Rhinolophus ferrumequinum: one gene and its partners. The protein of the gene in region 1 purifies or fractionates together with the protein of each later gene. This does not show direct contact. Links are inferred from orthologs where the notes say so. Each region holds a gene or a part of one and is shown in the gene's direction. Other genes may lie near its edges. The genes, in order: USP37, FBXW11 and BTRC.

Region 1 (7,876 bases):
TAGATTAGAAGCCATAAGTGGCTTCAAAACACAGCTTTGCCATTTCTAGCATGTGTAACCTAGGATAAGTCATTTACTTTCCCAACCCTCAGTTTTATCACTGGTAAAATGAAGGAATTAATTACCGAAGTCTCAGTCAGCTATAAAAATCTTAGAAATTTATTTAATTCTTTGTTATAAAGTGAGAGACTAATCTAAGTGGCTCTTTAAAAATAATAAATTTTATTCAGGTATAATTTATATACAATAAAACTTTTCAGTGCACCCATTTTAAGTGTACATTTCAATGAAGTTTGAGAAATCTATATACCTGAGTAACCACCACCACAATCAAGATATAGATCACTTCCATTACCCTCAAAAGTTCTCTAGTATTCCTGTCAGGAATCGCACCACACCCAGCCCTAGGCAACTATGGATATGCTTTTTGCTGCTATAGATGAGGTCTGCCTTTTCTAGAAACTATTTATAGGAGGTAATATTTACTGAACATACTATGTGCCAGTCACTGTGGATCATCTGCCTTATTCTCAAAATTCTAAGAAAGAATGGGTTCAGGGAGGTTAAATATATGCAAGTTCACACAGCGAGTATATGGCAGAAAATTAGATTTAAATTCTAGGCTACTTCTCTCTAAAATCAGTGAGCCCCTACCTGGTTTATAGGATTGAAATCACAAATATCTCTCCAAGTTGAAGAAAATATTTCTTAAGATCCCAATACAGACTTTTAAGTTTAATATCCCATTGTGTATAATATAGCTCATTAACAGTTGGATTTGGATAAACGGTAAGTTCACTTACATACCCAGAAACGTAAGGTCACTCATGAGAAGTCTGATTTAAACTATTAGTTATCTTCCTTAATACTGTCTTCCAAGATTACAAACAAGAGCTATTGGATATAACTGTATCTTCAGATATAACTCGCTTAATGTCAGTGGTCCCTTCCTTTCAATGTTAAAAATGTCTGTATGGCCAAAATTTAGGAGGGAATTGCTCTCCCCTTTTCTGTTTAATGATTTGTATATAGAAAAAGTATTTCAAATAACTTTTTTCTTTCAACAAAGCTTAACATAGGCAAGACATTTACCAATGTGAGTCACCAATGGTTAACTTCAAGTGTCACAAACACAGGGTACTGATAGTTGGTCTTCTATCTTTGTAAGATCTTAATACTTAATGTGAAAAGAAAAAGATATTTAAAATTTAAATAAAAAGACCCACATTTACCTATAAATGAGAAAGAAAAATGATTTACCCCTCATGAGGAAATTTAAACATTGATGTTGATGGCTTTCTTAAACAGAAAATATCCAAATCTTTCAGTATGGGCCAAAATAGATTCAAGGGCCAAAATAGCTGGCTTTTCTACCAATGAATATTTGACAATGAATAAAGAAAGAAGAGTATTAGATTGAAAAAGAGATTATTTTCCCAAGTCTGGAGATGACTCAACAAGTGTCTTTGAATGTCTAGTTGACGATATTCCAAGAAAACACACTTTCTAAATACTGCCAAAGGGAAATATTAAATTAGCTCAATTATCCTCATATCTTTATGAAAATAAGGTCCAGAATGTTCTTCAAAAATAACTTTTTAAAAATAGAAGTGAATAAGCAAAGAGAAGTTAGGCAATTTGCTTAAAACTTCAACAGGAGACAGTCTTTGAATTAGATGTGCCAGAATGAATGCACAATGTTCTTTTTACTTGCCAAAGAGGAAGGCTTCTGGGAGTCTAGCACAACTTCAACAAAAAGATATAGAATAACTAATGACGGTGCCCATTAGGTGGAAAGCGAGGCAAAAACAAGGGTTTAAAGATGTTAGAATTGCCAGTAGAAATTCTACTGGGGAATCAGTGGGGAATATTTTTAAAAATGCATACCCAGAGCATCTCATAAGGGCTTTCCTTTGGTTGTTTTAGATCACTAGCATATCATTCATTACAGAAGACCCACAGTATGTGAAGATATGTATAATAATTCTATTAATCAACCTCCAAGGTCCATAACAAAGTGATTTGTTACTCTGTTGAGGCAGGAACTAGAGTCCCAAAGCTGAACCTAGGAGCAAGCCATTTAACCAGTGAGTGAACCTAGCCAACCACTGATCACTCTGTTATTATTTCATCTTTAAATAATCCTGTGTGTATTTGTGTCCTTATTTAATAGATGTGAGAAATTACATTCTATGGTGGCAATAATGAAGACGTTAGAATGTATTCTGTAAAGAATGAAAGGTCTATCATACCATACATTTCCAGTATAATACTACTCAAGTCAAAATTTAAGATATTTCCCAAATTATCTCAAATCCTCCCTATTGTGAATGAAATCCTGCATTCACATGTGATCACATTCTCCTTTGACAGTACTATCTCCCTAGCTGAAATGATGAATTACCTGTTATTTTAAAAAAGATAAAGGTACACACAGATACAAATTTTCATCATTAGGCAAAAAGTAATAATCAAGTTGCTTAGATTACTGCAGGCACTGGTGCATGTATTAACTTTTCTCAATTTCTAGAGAGTGACAAACACCATTACTGTCCCTTTACCCAGATCAGAATAAAACAGGCAGTTTAGTCTAATGGAAGGCATGCGCTTCAGTCTCCTCACTAACCAAATATTCTAGTGAATGAGTGGTAGAAAGTAACTTGTCAGAGCTTTCGTGTGGTCTAAGCAGCACAACAAATGAAAGTATATCTAAAAGTTCAAATTTTAAATAAATGTATTGTCAATCTAATTGAAGAAACATGTATTGAGTACTTACTTATAAGTAATGAACCACAGCTTTAATGGCTGTTCAAAAGATGAATTACAGGGAGCAAATGAAAATAAAAGAAATTGAATAGGTATGGGTATAGAGTTTGGGGAGGCACAGAGAAAAGAGCAGCTTGGCATCAAAGTGTGGCGAACACACGATCAGATTTTGAGAGATGGACAAGCCAACCTTAGAAGAATTTATTTACCTTGTCCCTCCCTACTAGCAGAAACCTCATCTTCTGACTTGCTTCTTCCAAATTATACATGTAATGTGCGAGAAGAAACAAAAAAGTTGGGGAAATTGCAAACACCCAATTGAGAGATATAAAAGGTACTTCTCCACTTTGACTAGTTACAAACACTTAGAAACATGGTGACAGGAGGCAGAGATGCCACTGGCTCTGGAAATGACGTTTTCTCTAACCTAATTACACAGCTTCCTTTTTATATTTAAAGGCAATTTTTTGGGTTCTCTATTTCGTATTTGTATCATTTTGCCTACTAATGCAACTTAAGTATATTATTCTCTCATTAAGTCACTTTACCTCTGTGAAACAGAAAAAGTGGGGTGGGCATTTACAAAAGTGTGCTCAAATCATATGATCCCATTTTCCCACTGTGGCTATGTGTTCTCAGTAGCCACCTCCTTCATCTGCACCCCTCATTCAGCAAAGTACCTGAGCCCTTACTTTATGCCAGGAACTGTCCTGGATCTGGGTTACTATGTAAACAAGACCCACATGATCCCTGTCTCTGTCCTCAAGAGGGAGACAATCAACAAGCAAATAAATACAAAAAAATTACAAATTGTAATCAATGCTGTAAAGGATACTTGAAAAGTAAAGTTGGAGGTTACAGAACTACAGTACTTTAAAAAAGACGGTCAGGGTCGCCCACTCTAGGGAGATTTGGCAGAGACCTGAGGGAAGCCAGCTATGCCCACATTGGGGGGAGGGGTGTGTGTGTGTGTGTGTGTGTTTAAGTTGGAAGAGCATTCCAGGAACAGAGATCAGAAAGTGCACTTTGGAGTTGAAAAGCACACCAGAAGGGATGGTAGACGGGATGTCCAGTGTAACTGGAGCCTACCGGGCAAGTGACATAAGACAAGACTGTAAACGTGGGTAAGAACCAGCGAGAGTCTTGTCATAGCGAGGACTCTGGATTTTATCTAAATGCAATGGGAAGCCATAGGATTACACTAGACAGGTGAACTACCCGATCCATTTTGGTTAAAAGACCACACTGATAAAACGAGATGTGTGAGGAAAGGTTTTAAGCGCAGAGAACCGTAAGTCAGACACGATAATTATTCACTTCTCTGGGTCTCAGATTTTCCATCTGCAAAGCAAGTGGTTTTAACTAGAAGCCATTTCCTTTCCGCTGCGATGTGCCTAGGCAGTCAGTTCCGAGAGCCCGGGGCCTTGTCAAATCGATCACAGAATTACCCTCATCCCCGCCGACGCTCGGAACGCAACGGGCACCCGGAAACTGTTGGTCAGGGCAATGAATCAATGAATGGCCAGTCCGGGCCGCGAGGGAGGCGTTCCGGGCGCGCGCAGGCCCCAGGCCGGAAAAGAACGCGAAATGCGGCGCGAGAGGCCACAAGTGCCGGTGGGCGAGGAAAGTAGGGGGTGGCTTCACCGCGACCAAAGCGCGGCGAGGAGGGGGGGCCGGGGCCTCGTGGGTTGAGAGCAGAAGTTGGACTCCAGGCTCCACAGAGGGAGCTAGGAGAGGAGGCCGAAACGCAGGACTGAGGAGGGGTTCTGGGCCCAGGCTGGGCGGCGCACCCACTCACCGCAGCCGTCGCCAGGCTGTGCATGTTGGGAGCGGCCACCGCTCTCCAGCCACCGCCGGACGCGCCCGACCCACGTCCCAGCTTCAGCGACTCTGCCGCCAAAGAGCTGCCGCAGCCGCCATCCGCCTCCGGCTCGCTCCGCCCCCTTCGCAGCCCTATGACCTTTCACCCCTGACACCGCCCACAATCCTCTTCCCCCCTCCTAGCTCTCCACGGAGTTAGTCCTAAAGTCTGTCCTTTGTCGCTTAAGATTCAGGACCTGAAGGACGTCCGCCTCCTATTAGTCCTGGCATTCCCCGCAGGCCTCCCCAGAGAGGGGAGTGAACTCTGACCCTCCTCCGGAGGCCAGTGAAGGGCGGGAAAAGCAGGGCAGTCCCCGAAGGAGAAGTAGTACGCATGCCCGACTGGGCTGAGTAAGATGGAAATGGTGGGAAGTCGAAAATGAGTGAGTAAGAAATGCGCATGCGTCCTGTAGTCAGATGGGGCGGGGCTGCCTTGGCGAGACTTCGCCGAGTGCTGGGGCGGGGCGAGGGCGTGGAGGGGCGGAGTTTGCATTCCTGCGCGCACGCGCCCCGTCCGGTCGCGTAGAGTGTGCGTGCGTGCGTTGCGTGTTTGCGTGTGGTCACAGTTCCCGCCATCAGCCGCTCTCCCTGAGTCGGGGGGAGTGAGCTGTCCCTCTCCTCCGTGCCGGGTGTCCCTTCCTTCCTTCCCCCCCACTTTTCCCCCTCCGCGCGGACTCCGTGCTTCCGGCGGGCCTGTCCCGGGCTCAGGACTCGCAGGCACAGGTAAGGCGGGCCCAGAAAGCTTCTCAACTGAGCGGTTTTCCCCAGCGGCTTCCCCCCCACCCCCGGTCCGCCCACTCGGCGTTCACTCTTCTGGAGTTCGCCCCGCTGCTGCTCAGCCTGCCCCCATCCACTCGACGCTCCCCTGGCCTCACCGGTGCTGCACTTGGGGCTTCCCTCAGGCTTTTCTTCTCCTTTGACCTGGTCTTGACTGTTACTCGCCCCCTCCGCAGCCGGAACCTCCCCCATTTCGCTGGGGGCTGTCGGCGTCCGCCACTCGCCCCTTAGCGAGGCCTGCTGTCTCTAAAAAGAGGACCTACGTTGCCGCACATCCACAGGCCTTGGACATGATTCTCTCACTCTCTTGACAGTTCCTCACCTTCTTTCCTCTCCTAACCATCTCTCACTAAAACGCATGAATTGTGTTCTTGTCGTGCATTTGGTTGCTCCCCATCTCTAGCCATCAGTTCAGGTTGTCAGCTTCACCTGTTTTAGGGCATGAGCCATGAAAGGAAATGATAATTGATGACAAAATCCTGTTTTCTGGAGACTTGGCCTGTAGTGGCTTTGTGGTAGTTCTTTCAAAATTTTGGCTCTGTACATGCCTTTTGGGGGGTGACAGTATCTGACAAGTAGCTAACTGGAAGAGATACCTAAGAGAGGATGTCAAGTTAGCAGTTGGATATATTGGTTTGACGCTCAGAGGAGAGTTCTGGGCTGGAAGTATAGATAAATGTATATATGTCATCTGCCACGTTGATGGTAATCAAAGCCATGGATGTGGATGAAATTGCCTAAAGCGAGTATAACGCTGGAAAAGGGGATCTAGGATGGCTCACTGAGGGGTTCTTGACGTTTAATAACTGGATAGAGGAATACAAGTCTGGTAAAGAGATGGAAGAAGTAATCAGTAGTGTTGCATTTTGCTGAAAGATGAATGAGGACTGAGAAGCCCAGTGAAATCAAAGTAATCGATGGTCATGGTGAGAGAGGTTTAATGGAGTAACATGGAATATCTTGGTTCAGTCGTAGGCCCTGTTCTTTTTGCTCTTCCTTTTCCACCCTAAGCTTTGAATTCTACCTATATATTGATGACTTAAGAACTTTTATTTCCAGCCTCTTCCCAAAAGCTCAAGATCTATTATAACTAGCCCCCATTTGCTTGACATTTCAGCTTGATTTTTTTCCTTAGAGATTTCAAATATAACATGTCTAAAACCAAATTCTTAATCTTTCTCTCCATATCCAAATTCTTTCTCCAGTATCCCGTTTCATTAAGTGGCATATCCATTTATCCACTTACATAGGCTAGACACTTGAAAGCCATTCTTGACTTCTCCCTCATTTCATGTATCCGTACCCTCTTCAAGTTCTATTTATTCTATTTCCAATATATGTGTTGAATCTATTTCTGTATATCTTTCGTATCACTTTTCCAGTCCAAGCCACAATCCTCATTCACTTGGACTTAATGTCACTGCTAGGTACCCTGTATTCTCATCTGTAAAATGGGAATAATCATCACCTTATTGAATTTTTATGAAGATTAAATGAGATAACTGTGGTAAGAACATGATACATAGTAAACAGCCAGTAAGCATTATTATTGTAATTGTTATAAGCTGAATCACTTTAATACTTTCGTATCTGGTTGTCCTGTTTTCTTCCATTCTTGCTCCTTTCTCCTCCCCAAATTGAAATCACTTCTTTATTCAGCAGTAACATGTCATTTCTCTGCTTAAAACCCTTCTGTGGATTTCCCAATCACTAAGTATTTATTACATTGAGGGTAAAATTCAAAATCATTACTATGCTGTACAAGATTCTGCATAACCTGAGTCTTTCCTGCTTTACTAGCTTCATCTTGCACCATCCTCCTCTCTCTCACTAAACTCTAGTCACACTGCTTTTCATTTCTTCAGTCACACCAAGTTACTTTCTGTCACAGGGCCTTTGCACATTTTGTTCTGTTTACTTGGGTGGTTCCAGCATGACTGTCCTTCAGTGAACTCTTTCTTCAAGTTTCAGCTTATATGGTACTTCCTCAGAGAAACCTTCCCTAGGTGCTCTCTAACCTTTAACCCCCAAGTCTTAAATCAGGGACCCTATTATAATCTCTCATCATGCCCTGCACTTTATATCATCTTTCAGAACTTGTAATTATATGTTTATTTGTGTGGTTATTTAAAGTCTGTCTCTTACTAGAATATAAGCTAGTAACTATTTAATTTCTGTTTCTCAAGAATTGGTTAAATGAGTAGCCATCATGTCTTTTGGAAGGTTACTGATATTCTTGTCATCTGTTGACAAACACCTTTTCTGTCTGCAGACAAATCAAAGGATACAAAAAAAACAACAAAGGGTTTTCCAGCTTTGGACGAATTTTCATTTTTATGTCATAAAATCATTTAGATTTTAGACTCTTTGAATTGGAGATAAACTTTATCTAGGGCAACTTCTCTCTTTCAGCCACAACACTAATTTTATCTTTGTGCAAGAAAGCCCTTAGAAATCAGAGCAGTGGTTTATA
Region 2 (7,274 bases), on another chromosome or scaffold:
TCCCCTTTAATCCTCTTAAGTGCACAGGTACTGGGGAAACGTGCACTAGCAGCAGTGTAACCAGACTGCACGCCCAGTCCCGCCAGGCGAGGTCAGGCAGGGCTGATCTGGGCTGTTTACAACACCGCCTTTACAGCCTGGGGTGTGAGAAGCAGTGTTATGTGAGATGCGGCTTCGTGGCTCAGGCAGGCCTTTGGTTATTCCCTTACTTGGCTTGTTCACACTGGAATCTCGTTCAGGGGTAGCTGTTCCCTGCTCAGTGCCGCCTGAGCCCCAGTAGCTGCCCTGTCCTTCCCGGATGGGGCCTGGGTGGGTCTTCCGGCCTCACGACTGAGCCAACGTGCAGGCCCATCACTGAGAAGCCCACGTAGTTCTCTGCGTGCTCTGTGCTACTGTTTCCTCTGTAAGGGACACACAGAACTGTTTCTCCTTTTCAGTCAATTTATTGCAGAGTAAATCTAACTAACTTATATTTTCCCTTGATGAAGGATAGAAGTTATTTTTATGTAGTTTTCAAACTTTATACAAGATTTTTGTAATATGTTCTCTGCAAAGTTAACTGCAAGGAAGTAATATACTTCTAATAAAATAACAAGGTGAGAAACTCTATTTGCCTTTGGGGTTGTTCTCTTGGATGGGGGTGGTTCTCTTGGATTGCCAGACAAGCAAAGGGAGAGCTGAACCAAGGGGCTAGCTTCTGAGTGCACTGCTGCCTGCCAGGTCATACAGCCGGTCTGACTGTGGGATTTCTGTTCTGAAAGAAGTTATGCTTGGCTGTGTGTGAGTGTGTGTGTGTGTGTGTGTGTGTGTTTTCTATGGACATTTATTCTCATTTAACAAACATCTGGCCACCAAGAGTTTTCACATATTAACTTACTGAATCCTTTCAACAACCCGAGGAAGACACTGCCATTCCCATTTTAGAGATGAGGAAATGGACACTGGGCAAGGGGAGGGTCAGGCCAAACCTCACACCGCTGGCAAGTGACGCGTAGGGATTCAACCGTAGACCTTCTAGCAGTGCTACCTCCCCCACACCTCTTCCCCTGTCCCCAACTGCCCATTACACTCAGCAAGAGTCACACAGACACTTAGCCACTAGCCATCTCTGCCATGTTTAAAAGATTTTTTCTGCCTTTAAAGTTCCATTCAGGGGTTCTTAACCTGGGGTTCCCAGACCCCCACCAAGGAATCCATGGATAGAATTCAGAGTGCCTTTGTACCAGGATGGAAGAGTTGGTCTTTCGTTTTACTGACCTCTAACTGAAAGGCAGCATTTCCTTTCCTTATGGACGTAGGCCACACATTTTAGTAGTAGTAGCAGTACCTGTAACTGTCAGCAACAGAAGTCAGAGATTTCATCTCACGTGTGGCTCTTAAAGACATCTTAAAATATCATTTTGTTCATCACTTTGAAGTTATAGTAGTAATTAGACCTATTGCTAGATCTTGTTATTTAATGTGATATATGAAAATATACTGTATATATGTATCACATTACATACATATGTCACATATATAAGCAAGTTTTCCTAATATCTTGATAGCTTAATTTCATTGTTAATGATTTCACTTGTAATCTATGTGCTTTATATTGTATATCGGAAAGTATTCTGAGAAGGGGCTCATAGTCTTTGTGGAACACCGTAAGATAAAGAACCCCTACTCTGCAGCCCTGAGTTGTCCCTGTCCTAGAAACTTTCCCACCAGCAGGTGGCGGTCCACTGTCAATGTCTCGCAAGTCCGTGAACTGGGTGTTTAGGGATGCAGGTGAACAAACAGCTGGCACGCCTCCCATTAAGGGCTAGAAAAGTGACTGGGGTTCCCAGGGAAAGCACTCATGAGACTGGTGAGGAAGACAAAGCATTAGGGGTTGTGTGGAACTTGGGAAATGAGATGATCCCACATTAATTGATACCGCATAATCACAAGTACTAGAGATGCTGTAATGGGTAAGATACTGAGTCTTCAAAACACTTGTCCTGTTGAGGAAACACCTGGAGAGGCAGAGTGTCCGTGCAGGCTGACACAGCCTGGGAGAATCAGGGAGGACTTCCCAGAGGAGGTGATGCTGAGTCTTGGAGGACAAATGAGTACGTGAAAAATGCATTCCGACACCGCGGTAGAGTTGAGGGTGAATAGCGGTAGCCATGAGGGCCACACTTGCATGCCGAGCTCAAACTGATCCCTACTGCCCTGTGGACAGTAAGAAGACTCAGAAAGAGTTTACTCGGTAAGGACAGTTGAAATCATGACCACAGCAACTCAAGAGACCAGCTGAAAAGGACAAAAACAATGCTGATATTGAATGGGAATACTGACCCACACAGGTTGGAGGCTCTAGAAAGTAAAGGGGAAACAGCAGGCTCCATGAAGGCAGGGAGTAAGACTTTAGCTGACCCCGAAACCCCAGAACCCAGCATGTTGCAACACTGAGATATCCAGTCTGGGTCCTTGTACCATAAAGAGTTCGCTAAGGGAGGTGTGGGGGGTCTGGGGGATGTAGACTGGATGTATATTAACCTGCTGTGGTACCAGACGTCTGGTTAATAACAAGCATGTCTTTAGTTAAAAACAATACTGAGAGAACTTCCACTTCCAACGATGGCAGACTAGGTAATTCAGACCAATCCTAACACGGAGGACAATTGGAAAAGCTGGACAAAATAATTAAACACTTTATAGGTGTTCTAATCTCCTCACTTTATAGGTGCAGAGAAAAGCAACCTCTGACATTAGGAAGCTGGCCTGCTACATGACAGCCAGGCTGTAATGTTACTAGATGGTAGCCTGGCCTGCTTAGCTCGGTCTTGTGTTCTGTTGAATATAATTTTTCACAGAACATAAACATCGGACAAGGCCATTCTGTAACCATGAGAGATCAAGACAAAAACAAGACCACTCCTTAAGTATACCCGCTCGCAGATAAAACGTGACCATTGTTCAAACCACAAAAAACCAAACATCCCCCATCCTGGCTAACATGAGGGGGGCAGCTTCCTTACCAATTACAGCGTTAGCCTCAGTCTAGTATTCCTCCCTTCCAGGTAAGATTTAACGAGATGCCCAATCATAGAATTACCCCCACTTCCTGGCACCATCGAACTCAGAGTAAAGTCCCCCACTTCCTTAAACCCTCTCCCAAATCATCTAATAACTTCTACTGAGATGCTCATGCCCCACGCTTTCCCCTTACAGCAACCAAGCAATAAACGCAACTTCAACTACCTGTCTCTGGTGGTCTTTGATTAGGAGGCAGTGACAGACCTAAGGTCACCGAGAGCTGGTGACCGAGTTCACTAGGCGTCCCCAGGTCTCCAGCTGTGTTCTGTCTTAGCACCTGTCACTCTGGGTAAATGTCTGCCTTCCTGCGCACTAGAATGAAGCCCACGAGAACAGAGGACCTGTCTGGGATGCTCGGAGCGGATTCCCAGGGCCTAGACTGGTGCGCAGCCGAGGCCAGAAGTTTAAAAAGTATTTTCTGAACAAATGAATACGAGGGGCTCACTATTCACAGGTTCCCTTTCATCTCTCAGCTCCTCTCAGTTCCATGAGCACTACAGCTCCTCTCCAGAAACCTCTTCTTCCCCATCGAAATCTCCAAACACCTCACTGGGATGCCTGAGAGGGATGATGGATGGCCCTTGTGGACCCTCCTCCCTTGCCCGAGCGTCTCTCGCTCGCTGGCCCCCTCCCACACCTGAGCCCCAAGACCACTCCCTCTTAACGCACCCAGAACCTACCTGTCTCCAATGTGTCCCAACTACCATGCGCTAGCTGACCAGCTGCGCCGCTACCTAGACGTCGAATGGGCATTGCGGTGGCCGACCGCGCATGTGCGGAAATTGGTCGCACAAGCGGGACCTCCGACAAGCGAAGAGTTGCTTCTGAGTTTCCGTTCCGGTCTGAGTAGCCTTGGGCTGCCAGGAAGTCAGGGGGAAGTAGCCGGAAGCAGAACCCGCGCGCAGGGCTTTCGGGGACATGTAGTGGCGGGGCTCCCAAGGCCCTACCCGGTGGGAGCCCGTGATTCTTGCGGTCTGAACGTTCCGCATTCACGATTCAGTGCCACTTTCGCCGCAGAATTCAGCTTCGCGCTGCCAGGAGAGATTGGCCGGGTGTCGGCTTTTCATTCCCACAACGCTTGGCGGGCACGCGGCGCCTGCTGGGAGCGGTAGTCCTGTCGGCGTAGTGCGTTCGCCGAGGGGGAGGGCGGAGCTGCCGGCGGCCCGGGCGGGCTGGCAGCTAGAGTGGGTGCGATTACCGCCTCCGCCTCTGCCGCCTCCGCCGTCGCCTCCTCCGCCCGGGCCGTTCGCTGCTGCGCGGGGAGAGCGAGGCGGGGCCGCCATGGAGCCCGACTCGGTGATTGAGGACAAGACCATCGAGCTCATGGTGAGTGCGGCCCGCTGGACCGTCTGTTCTTCCGTCCGTCCGGCCCCGGGCGGGCCTGCCCATCTCAGGGTCCGGCGCGAGGCCGGCCCTGGCCCTTCCCCGCCGTTTCGGCCCCGACCTGGGCCCCCTGCCTTCCCTGGCCTCGGGCCGGGAGCGGTTCCTCCGGATCCCTCGAGATCTCAGGCCGGACCTGGTCCGGCCCCCTCCCTGCCCCTCGGTTCTCCTCCCCTTATCCTGTCTCCGGGCCCATCTCTCGAACGATCCTCGCTCGCTTCTGCTGTGGCCGTAACTCATACTCGCTGTAGCATCCCATTCTCCTTTTCTTAGAAGGGGATTCGTTAATTTTTTTTTCCTCCTCTATTTCCCCGGCCCAGGCCTGCACCGCTCTTGAAAGCCCCAGTCAGGCCGAATGAGGTGGTGGGAGGGGATACGGAGGAGATGGATCAGGGCCTTGGCCTCCGCGACCTAGTGCGGGGTCTCAGCCCCCTGTCCCCAACCTAGGGCTGTGTGGATGCCGGGATAGGCCCTACAGGGGTGGAGGTGGGGAGCTCTCGGGTTTGAGGTGGTGACGGAGAAGGGGTCTCTTTCCCGGGCCCCTTTGATGTCCGGCTTCTCGGACAAAGGGTTTCCTACTGGGCCGAGAGGGATGTTTGCATAGCAAGGCCCCAGGTACTCTGGATTCCATCTTCCAGGAAAGGGAAACCGTAACTTCATGTTTTCGAGAGCTGCTTTGGGAAATTGAGGAAGGGGGGAGGGTTGCCCTCATCACTGCCGTCAGTTCTTTCTTCTCAAAAAAAAGGTGTGTGTTGGGGGGAGAATCCTAGGCCTCAGGGGAAACGATAACTCTTCTGTTAGGAACCATTGGTAGCCAGACCAGACTTCCTGGCCCCGCGGTCGCCCCAACCCCCTCCCCCCTTCCCCCTAAGGACTTGAGCCAGAAGGAGTTTTTAGAAACAGGACCACAAGAGAGTGGCTAGTAGAAACGAAGAATTTGCTACTTGGTGGATGATTCGGTGGGAGAAATAAAACATGGCAGCTATTACCTGCCAATTTGAACATCAGAGAAATCAAACGGGGCTATGGAGAGTTGGGAGGAGGAAGTCTTTGCTTCAGCAAATGGACAAGCCCAGGCTTTCTTCCTGTGGAAACCTTGACAGTTTTTTGTATGTCCCCTAACACGGTAACAATTTCTAGCCCACGGTTGAGAGGAAAGGTGAAAGAATCTACTTAACCCAGCAAAAGGTTTTCCTAGCCAGATTTTCTCCAGTGTGAAAATGTTTATTGAGTCAGTAATTCCACTGGGTAGGGTCGGTGACATCAGAGCCACTTCCCCCATTTAATGCTATAAATAATAAATGGTGACACTGAAAGTCTGTTGGATAGCTGCATGGTTTCTGTGGATGATGGTACTTGGGGAGTTGAGATGTATGTTTTAAAAATGGAAGTACAGTAGCATAAATCCGGAGGCAGCTTAATATATGCTGCTTTTGCATAATTCACAGACACAGAACTAGACTTCTCCAGCATTCTTGAAAACTAAAAAAAAAAAAAAAGCTCTGATAGTTTAGGAAGTGTGTGCACACGTGTGGTTGATTTCTAAGGGATACATACTGTCACTTGGGGCTTTTTATTTGATTTTCATTTATTAAGTAATTTGTCCTCTTCAGTATAATTGTAAGTCAAGTGTTTGGTATTCTGCAACTTTTGTAGTGGATTATTTTGGTAAAATATCTTAATTAGAATTATAAATATAGTACATATTCTTATGGATGTTCATACATGTACTTAACAGGAATAATTCATATTAAAAAATTGTATCTTGATACCTCTTTGAAATTGGCTGTCCTGTGCTCCTTTCATTTCTGTTCATTTAAAGAGTAACTAAAATGTCTTTATTTTCAAAAGAGAAGAAACACAGTGTAATCTATTTAGTGTCTTCGTGTATATTGTAAAAAAAAAAAATCAGGCCTAAATTTACTGGCTTCCTATGCTATACTTATAACCTAAAAAAGGTTTGATTTTTACATGCTTGTGCTTGTCTGTGATCTGAAAAAATATTTCAGCCTTTTAAGGACATTATAAACTGGGATTCTTAGAGAATTTAGAAAGAGTTTAATAGTTATCTAAATCAATTTTAAAATGGCTTTTTTTATATATGGATTTTGATACTCCCTCAAAGGGATAGCAGTTAAGACTCTTAGGCAACCCTTTTCATAAACATATATGTATTTTAGTGTAGTAGGTAGTAGCACAGGTACTTAACTGATTTAGCAAATCCAGGAGCAGATGTAGGAATGATAATGCCTTAAAATCTAATTGCATGTGGCTTTCTGTATTAACTGTATTTTAATTACAGTTTCCAGAAGTAGGTTAAAAATATTTTTTACATTGGTTTCAAAATAACATGATTGAAGGAGGGGAAAGGGTTAAAGGGATGGTATTTTGAAAGCCTAAAGCACGAAATATTTTTAGATTTTTATGAGTCAGCTTCAATACTCAAATATTTGTCATTGTGCGGCCTGTACCAGTTTGGTACTTAATGGTTAACAGGGTAACTTCCATTTGATAATTTCAGAGTGTGCTGTATTAAAGAAAGGAAACAGACTTCATGGGTATCTCTGATTTCTTAATCTTCATTCCTCTACTTTGATTTTGATTCTTTCTCCTTTTTCCCTTGCACTTCTTCACTACTAGGAAATAAAGCTGGTGATAGCAGAATAGTTAAAATCTCCAAAATACAACTACTTTGTGACTCCCACCCCTGCCTGAGGCTGAGTCCACAAAGAAGCCTTTTCCAACAGACCTACCTCATTGGGTTCAGTCTTTAACATGGATGATACACCCTTGATCCAGACAACTCGCTGCATTTACAATTGCTGATGGTG
Region 3 (7,543 bases), on another chromosome or scaffold:
AGTACCTTGGGGATAGAGCTTGGGCATCAATATTTTTCATGAAGCTCCTAAAATGACTCTTACGTGCAATCAGAGTTGAGAACCCCAGCAGGTATAGGAGAGGGGAATGCCATGCAATGAGAAAAAAGTGCAGGCAGATGTGGAATATTTCTGACTCCAGTCTGCTATGTGTTATAAGCACACACTACAGAGATGGTGGGAGTTAGAAGAGCAGGAGGGCATGATTCTTGTGGATTGGGTGTTGCCAGAGAAGGTAAAATGTGTAAACTGGCTTAAAAAAAAAGCGAAAATCTCAATGTCAAGTGTGGTGGAGTAGTGTGGTGGAAGCATAGACTGTTGTGGTCTTTCTGTACTGCAGTTTGACATTACATAGTCCAACTAAATATCCTTAATAGTCTATGAACCAGCAAGTATGATTTTTCGGTAAATATTCTCAAAGATAGTGTTGCTCAGGGATCACGTAGGAGGTTGATCACTACAGCTTTATTGGGGGTGATTGGAGGCTTTGCTGGGAGAGTAGATAGGTAGAATGTGGGAGCTACACACCATCAGACTATTATTCAGCAGTTAGAAGCAACAGATTAGATGTACGTATAGCAACATGAATGGATCTTAAAATCATAGATACTGGGTGCAAAAGGTATGAAACATAGTAAGATATATAAAACAATATTACATTTGTGAATTGTAAATGTAGCACACCACCTCCAACAAAAAATGCAGCATACAAAACAATATTTATTTTGAAAGACCCATACAAATAAACATTGCCTGTGCGGGGAGGGCAGGCTGTAGTGCTAAAAGGCAATAGATAACTATTTTTCAAAAGTAAGATTTAAATCAGACCTTGAAAGATGGGTAGGAAAGAGGAGGAAAAGGAAGCCTTCTAGAATGGTAAAATGACTCCCATAAGTTAAGGCCAGGAGGCAGGAGTGTGCTAAGCACGTGGAGTAGGAGAACAGTCTATTTGGAGCAGAGGGTTATATTAAAACAAGTGGGAAGTAAGGCTAGAGAGGGAGGATTGGATAAGATTTGAAAGGTCTGGAAAGCTAGAAAAAGGAATTTAAGCAATGATAAAGTAGTTAAGAGAGCCATAAAAGGATTGATCAGGGAAGAAATGTGATGGAAGTGAAGTCAGATGAGGCGGATGGAGAGAGCCTGGAGTCAGAGAACTGGATGGGAAGTGAATAAATACTATAGTGAACTAAGAACAAAGATAAAACAGGTAGTCTGGAACAGGCTTGCATTGGAGGTGGAGGCTGAAAGAGACATTTTGATAGATTATTGGCTGAATACAGACACTAATAGACAAGGTTAAGCCAGAGTACCCTGTGGTCTTAAACAAGGAAATTAATGGAAGAAATTAAGTCCAGCAGTAGCCTGAGATTTCTCACACTGGAAATCCAGTTTTCCAGTAACGTGGAACTTTAAAGGTTCTAATGATTCAGTCTTCTCCTTGAACAAGCACCATAAGCCGGGCTCATAGGTACACCCATTTTAGAGATGGCAGAGATCTTTGTTTTCCAGATGACAAAAGAGAGGACCAGAGAGGTTCAGTTAATTGCACAAATACAACCAATTAACTGGAGAAAGGATGGGCTAGAACCAGGTCTCTTAACTATTAGTCCAATGAACTTTCCTAAACTTTGTTGGATACGAGAGGCTTGAAAATCAAGGCAATTCACATTTGGATTTCTGTTTGCCTGACCATGAGTGGTCAATTTTCAAGAAAAAGGACTTACCCTTTGTGTACCCAGCCCCTGCCAGCTTACTTTCAATCCATATGCATATGAACTGTCTAGCTGGCTGGGCTTCTAAACAAAAACTCCTTGTGTTTGTTTTACTAATCCTGACCTCTACATGACTGGACAAAGTGAGGACTGCCACTGACTGCCAGCCTCATCAGGCAATATTTTCATCCTCCTCTCTGGATAAAAAAGTAAAACAAATGACTTCTAAAAAGAATAAAACCTTAGAGTTTGAAAGATCTTAACCTCCCACCCAAACTGAACCCCCCTGACAGATGGTCATCCTGCCTCTATGTTTTCAGAAATAGGGCAGTCTATTCCTCTGTCAGGACAGCTCTGATTACTAGAAAGCTCTGAGTCTGAGTCCTATGTCACTGTAGTGTGAGTCAGTGAAAATAGCACAGGCCTTGGAGTCAAGCAGACTTGAGTTAGAATCCTAACTATGTAATTTGCTGCATGACTTGAGCAAGTTATTTATCTTCTACCAGTATCATTCACTTCATCTGTACATTAAGGATAATATCAGTTTTACAGAGTTACTATGAATATTAGAGATTATGAATGTAAAATGCCTACTACAGTGCCTGGCACAAAGAGCTAATAAAGTGATAGCTGTTGTTATCATCATCATAATTATTATCCCACCTATTGGTCCTAGTTTGCCTTATGGTGCTACATATACATGCCTTTCAATACTTTTGAATACTTAAATTTAGTTGTCATGTTATTCCTAAGTGTTCTTTTTTTCAGAGTAAGCATCCATCAGTATTTTCTCTTTTGGTTATCCTTCTCTTGGCTATACTCCTGCATCTGATGTTTGTAGAACATGGTGCCTGTAACTGAACAAAGTACTCCAGGTGTGATCTGAGTGCTTCAAAACAGAGTAAGACCATAAGCCTCTATTTCCCAGACACCACTCTTCAAGCTGCCTAGGACTCCTTTGGCTTCCCCCCCCCCTTCTTCCTCATCCCTCCCCACCCCCAGCCCCCTGACTCTAGTTCAAGCTGTTATTTTTCAGTCTAGCTGTGTAGGACACAGCTCCCTGGCCCATGCTGGTATTATGAGCCTTGCGTTCCCCCTGGCTGAGGCAGTCGGTCGCCTGTCGTTGGTGCGCTGCTCACAGCGGCTCACAGGCAGCTCTGGCCAGCTGCCCACTGCTCATGGCAGCCCACAGTAGCTGAGGGCAGCTCAGGATGGTTGCCGGCCACTCACATTGCCGGCCACTCTCCAAAGCACACGACAGCAGGTGGTAGCTCATGCCAACCTCCGGCTGCTCAGGGCAACCCAGCTCCAGGGAGAACTGTTGTTCACAATGCTATAGAGGGCGCAGCTCACTGGCCCAAGTGGGAATCAAACCAGCAACTTGGGCATTAGGAGCACTGGGCTTCAACCACCTGAGCCACCCGGCCGGCCCTCCTTTAGCTTTTTTGGTGACCATGTCACAGACTGTCTTAGTCCTATGAAAACCTCCAGGTATTTTTCATTTGAGTGAGTTTTAAGTCTTCCACATTTTTGCACTTGTGTAGAATTTGTTTTTAAAATTCAAGAGTAAACTTTTTATTGATTGAAAGCTTATTATGTATTAGGTATGGTGCTGAGTTCAATACATAAGGATGACTAGGACAGAATATCAACATATTAGAAATGCAAGCTCTACAAGACTGGGTCTATCATGCTCACTGGGTCTATCCAAGAATCTCCATTTCTTGGAACGATGTCTCCACATGGTTATGTGCTTACTGTTGTTGAATTAGCGAATGAATAGTTTATAAGGGAAGTTTTTCTTATAAGTGAAAAGGCATTTCCCCAATTCACTTATTTTATAAATTCAGATTATTATTATTATTTTTACAACCCTATCATTTTTAGACCAGTGTTTTTTCCATCTAGGGTAGACCCAGTTTCCAAAATGAACTTGTACTGTCCCTTTCAAGGCCAAACTAAATACTTATATGCTTTATTTGCTGGATGGCCATTATGTTCCACTATTGAAGGTCTTTGTAAGTACTTGTTTGACCCTTAATGCAGGGCTTACATCTCATGGTTAGCAGTAGCAGCTCAACTTTCTGAGTGCTAACCCCCTGAGAATTTCCAGAACCGAGTTCTATTGGGCCCTGCCTTGGTGTGGGGGAGAATAAGGTCCTCGGGAGAAGTGTTGCTTAGGAGGACCTTGAAATTCTGCATTCGTCTGTGTAAGGGGCGGCCAGATGCTTATAGGCCCAGCGCCTCTGGGTCGAAATCCATCCCGCAGAGGTCAAATATATGAAATTTAGGGGTGTCCAGTTCTCTAAAACCACAGTTAGGCAGGTCTTAGGAACTCTGTAGAGTCCTCACAGTGTTTCCCAGTATTAATGGGCTACAGCTGAGGCACTGGTCGCCATCTTGCTATGAAATGCCAGGCAAGCGGTCCCTGGCGTCTTTTGGTAACCACGGAGACACCCTTGCCCCTCCCGTTTTTCAGCCTGTCGAGGCTATAAACTACGATTCCCATCAGCTGATTTCCTCTACTAGAAGGATAGTTGTCTAGATTTGGCTTGTCAGTCACCGCGACCCTGCCGCAGTGAACCGCGGGAGTTGCAGTTCGCGGTGGGACCTCACTTTTTGCTGCGTAAAGCTCCAGAACTACAAATCCAGTGAGCCAGTGGGTTTACGCATGCGCACGAAATAGCCGGTCCTCCCTGGCCCCCCTGGCCCCCCTGCGGGTGCCTGAGAGGTAAGAGGGCGGAGGGAAGAAAGAGGAGGCGGGATCCGGGCGCTGCGTTGGCTGCGGCCTGGCACCAAGGGGGCGGCCCCGGCGGAGTGCAGACCCAGTGGCCCCCGGCGATTATGGACCCGGCCGAGGCGGTGCTGCAGGAAAAAGCGCTCAAGTTTATGGTGAGGAGAAGGTGCAGGCCGGGGAATGGTGTTGGCGGTGGCGTTGGCGGCATCGCTGAGGCTCGGGCCTGGACAGCTTGTCCGCCGGAGGAGGGGGCAGCGGGACTGTGGGCCGAGGCCGGCAGCGGGGGCTGCTGAAGGGGACGGGACAGGAGCTCCAGGGAGGCGGGAGGGGGTGGTGGAGAGCACCCGGGGTGGGGGCAGCAGCTCCGCCATCTTGTGGATGAGAGGCCAAGTGACAGCGGGAGCTTAATCGGGGAGGGGGCTCCGGGCGGCGCGCGGGGCCCTGGAGGGAAAGGGGCGTGGGGACAGTTACTGAAGTGCTCGAAGGGGAGACGCGGTGAGGCCGCTGGCAGGGCCTTTCCAGTGCCAGGGTCACGGGTAAGGCTTGGGAGAAGAGGTGCATTCAGGAGTGGGGAAGGGGAGCGCGGAATAGTGGGAGGAAAGAGATTGGGGGGAGGGGGACCGGCAGGGCTGGATGCAGATGGATCTGAGGGTGGAGGAAAGCCAGGGCTGGTGCGAGACTTGTAGTTTTATAAAATGAGGGCGTAGAAATAGCCTTTACCTTCAGGGTGCAATCCCAGCTTGGCCAAACTAATGTTGGCAAACTCTGGAAAGGAAGAGGTCTTAGGAAAATAAGAACTGGGGATGGGGATCTAGGGTTATGGTGACAGTCTCTGGGAAAGGAAGGGGGGTGTTGACTATGAGCCAGAATTACAGATGTCAGAAAAGGGGGTACACATTCTACTTTGAAAGGAGAGGCCAAATATTGTAGTAAGGATGAGGAGATGAAAAGCAAGAGGTTGATTGGTCAAGGAAACCTGGGTTACACGAGATTGGGGGCAAATTAATATTAATAGGGTTAAAACAAAACAAAAGTGCTAAATTGTAGAGATAGTAAAGTGGGGGCCAGGCGCTATATCACTTTCTGGGAAAGGAAAGGCGGTGGAGATTAGAATCACAAGACCTGTGAGTGATGAGATCAGTGGAGAAATTCAGGAGATAAAAGAGGGAATGTCAGTAATGGGAAATGGGAGATGTCACGATTGGTGGTTACTTATCAGTTTTAGGTTGAAGCACACATCAGGAGCTTGGATTGAATTTTGTGGGTGTGTTTAAATCCTTTGGAGCCCAGTTTTTAAACTTTGTGTCATGCTTTTTTTCTATGTTTATGTTTGGCAATTTTTTATAGTCTGATATTTGATGCTTTTAATCTGATGCTTCTTGTATATCCTAGGTGTAAAACCAGACTTTATGGTTACAGCTAAAGAATGATGGGATGCATAGACTTCTACCTTAACAGGTGGCCTTAGGGGCATTGATATTATTTGCAGTCAATACCTTTTCAGAAGTAATTGTAACCTGTCACTACAAATCTTACTTCTTAGTTGTTATTTTGTGTCTTTGCCTGAAAAACCAAAATAAATCTAAATAAACATGGACACTAACCTAATTCCATTTAGTCTTTAACCGGCCCTATTTACAAGAATACATTTTCAGAGACTGGTCAGATTTACTAAAACTTTATTTTGTGTTAGTGCTTTCGAAAACACCTAACTAAAGCTTGAGTGTATTATCAACAAAATTCCATGTTGGAAAAGGTTCTTGAGTTTGTACCCAATGTTGAAATTCTAAAATATTAAGACAAGACTTTGACATTTTTTGGACTTCAAAAGTAAGAGGAAGTTGCTTTATATCTATAGCCAGCTTCTATATTGAAGTCAGAAAAGTGGCAGATGCTTATTTTTATTTTCCTCCTTAGAGGTTGACTTAATCCTAATCTTGACACTTCTGTTAGTTTTATGGAATAGTGTGATTTACAGATCATAAAGAGACATTATGAGATCATCTATTCTCAATCAGACCTCAGTCTAGGAATATTCTCAACTACTTGATCCCTGCTTTGTACCAGTGAGTTGTATTTCGATAATGGTCAGATTCAGTTAAAGTGGATCTGGAGATGGCCATGTAGTAGTTTGCAGCTTTTAGGGCACCACGTGTTATTAAATGTTGAGTCAGTTTCCAGAGAGAGAAGCCAGTTTTTTCTTTAGTTACTTTTATTTTTGACCTTGCCTGCTATTGTGGCTGCTGTTTGAGAAAAGGCCAACTGAAAGAAGGTCACCAAGAATGTCACCTTAATAACTGAAGCAGAGAATGGAGAGTTAGAGATTTGGTATTCTTTTTCAGCTCAGTAACAGCCTTATTATGAATCTGAGTAAGTCTCAACTTGCCTTTGGTCCCATTTACCCTGCTTTGTAACATGTCTGTTTACTTGGAGTCAATTTTGAGATAGGAAGATATTTTATTTGTGCTTGCACCAAGTGATTAGTACACAATACACATGGAAGGGCTATGCTTTTAATCAAATTGATAATTATATAGAGTGTATGGCTTTGTTTTGGCCTTATCTTTCCCTCAGTTGTGAATTATGAATGACAGTTTTTGTGTGGATGCCCTGACTTCCATAGTTTAAGAAAATGCAGTTTGTTAAAAATACCAAGATGAAATGGATATTCCCTTTTACGTATTTTGCTCATTACCACATTAATGTAGTGCTTCAGTTAGGAATTTTGCAATAGAATCTTATTAATGAGACTGCTAATTCAGACTTGCCCATAATTCGCATGTGGTCTAGATTTAAAAGTTTATGCTTGGATACTTGTGAAAAGTAGTTTAACTTCTAGAAACAAATGATATTAAAGAAGTAGTTTACGTTAAATAACCTATATGCTAATATCTCTCATTCAGCTTTAGCAGGTCCTCAAGGATCTTTCCTAATACTTCCTTGGTCAACAAAATTATAATTCCTCAGAAAAGATAATTGGGAACTGGGAGAGGACCTGAGAAGAGAAATGAAAATAATTGAGGGAATGTAGGCACCATATAGGAGAGATATAGTTAAAAAAAACACAAAACTATAT

What was found.
Region 2: the proteins of USP37 (region 1) and FBXW11 purify together in Homo sapiens (affinity purification with mass spectrometry; 6 studies listed by BioGRID and IntAct, counting the BioPlex papers as one, with this or other methods). This does not show direct contact. The link is inferred for Rhinolophus ferrumequinum from reciprocal best matches to the Homo sapiens genes USP37 and FBXW11.
Region 3: the proteins of USP37 (region 1) and BTRC purify together in Homo sapiens (affinity purification with western blotting; 3 studies listed by BioGRID and IntAct, counting the BioPlex papers as one, with this or other methods). This does not show direct contact. The link is inferred for Rhinolophus ferrumequinum from reciprocal best matches to the Homo sapiens genes USP37 and BTRC.

Annotation. Positions count from the first base shown.
Region 1 is NC_046291.1:16,768,840-16,776,715, forward strand, and holds the start of USP37 (ubiquitin carboxyl-terminal hydrolase 37), read left to right. Parts: upstream 1-4,790; 5' UTR 4,791-5,009; intron 5,010-5,143; exon of another isoform or gene 5,144-5,349; intron 5,350-7,876. Other genes in the region: CNOT9 (CCR4-NOT transcription complex subunit 9), read right to left, coding at 4,565-4,588. UniProt on the Homo sapiens protein: Deubiquitinase that plays a role in different processes including cell cycle regulation, DNA replication or DNA damage response.
Region 2 is NC_046307.1:38,113,506-38,120,779, reverse strand, and holds the start of FBXW11 (F-box/WD repeat-containing protein 11), read left to right. Parts: upstream 1-4,199; 5' UTR 4,200-4,344; coding exon 4,345-4,389; intron 4,390-7,274.
Region 3 is NC_046299.1:23,422,478-23,430,020, reverse strand, and holds the start of BTRC (F-box/WD repeat-containing protein 1A), read left to right. Parts: upstream 1-4,439; 5' UTR 4,440-4,574; coding exon 4,575-4,622; intron 4,623-4,938; exon of another isoform or gene 4,939-5,003; intron 5,004-7,543. UniProt on the Homo sapiens protein: Substrate recognition component of a SCF (SKP1-CUL1-F-box protein) E3 ubiquitin-protein ligase complex which mediates the ubiquitination and subsequent proteasomal degradation of target proteins. Recognizes and binds to phosphorylated target proteins.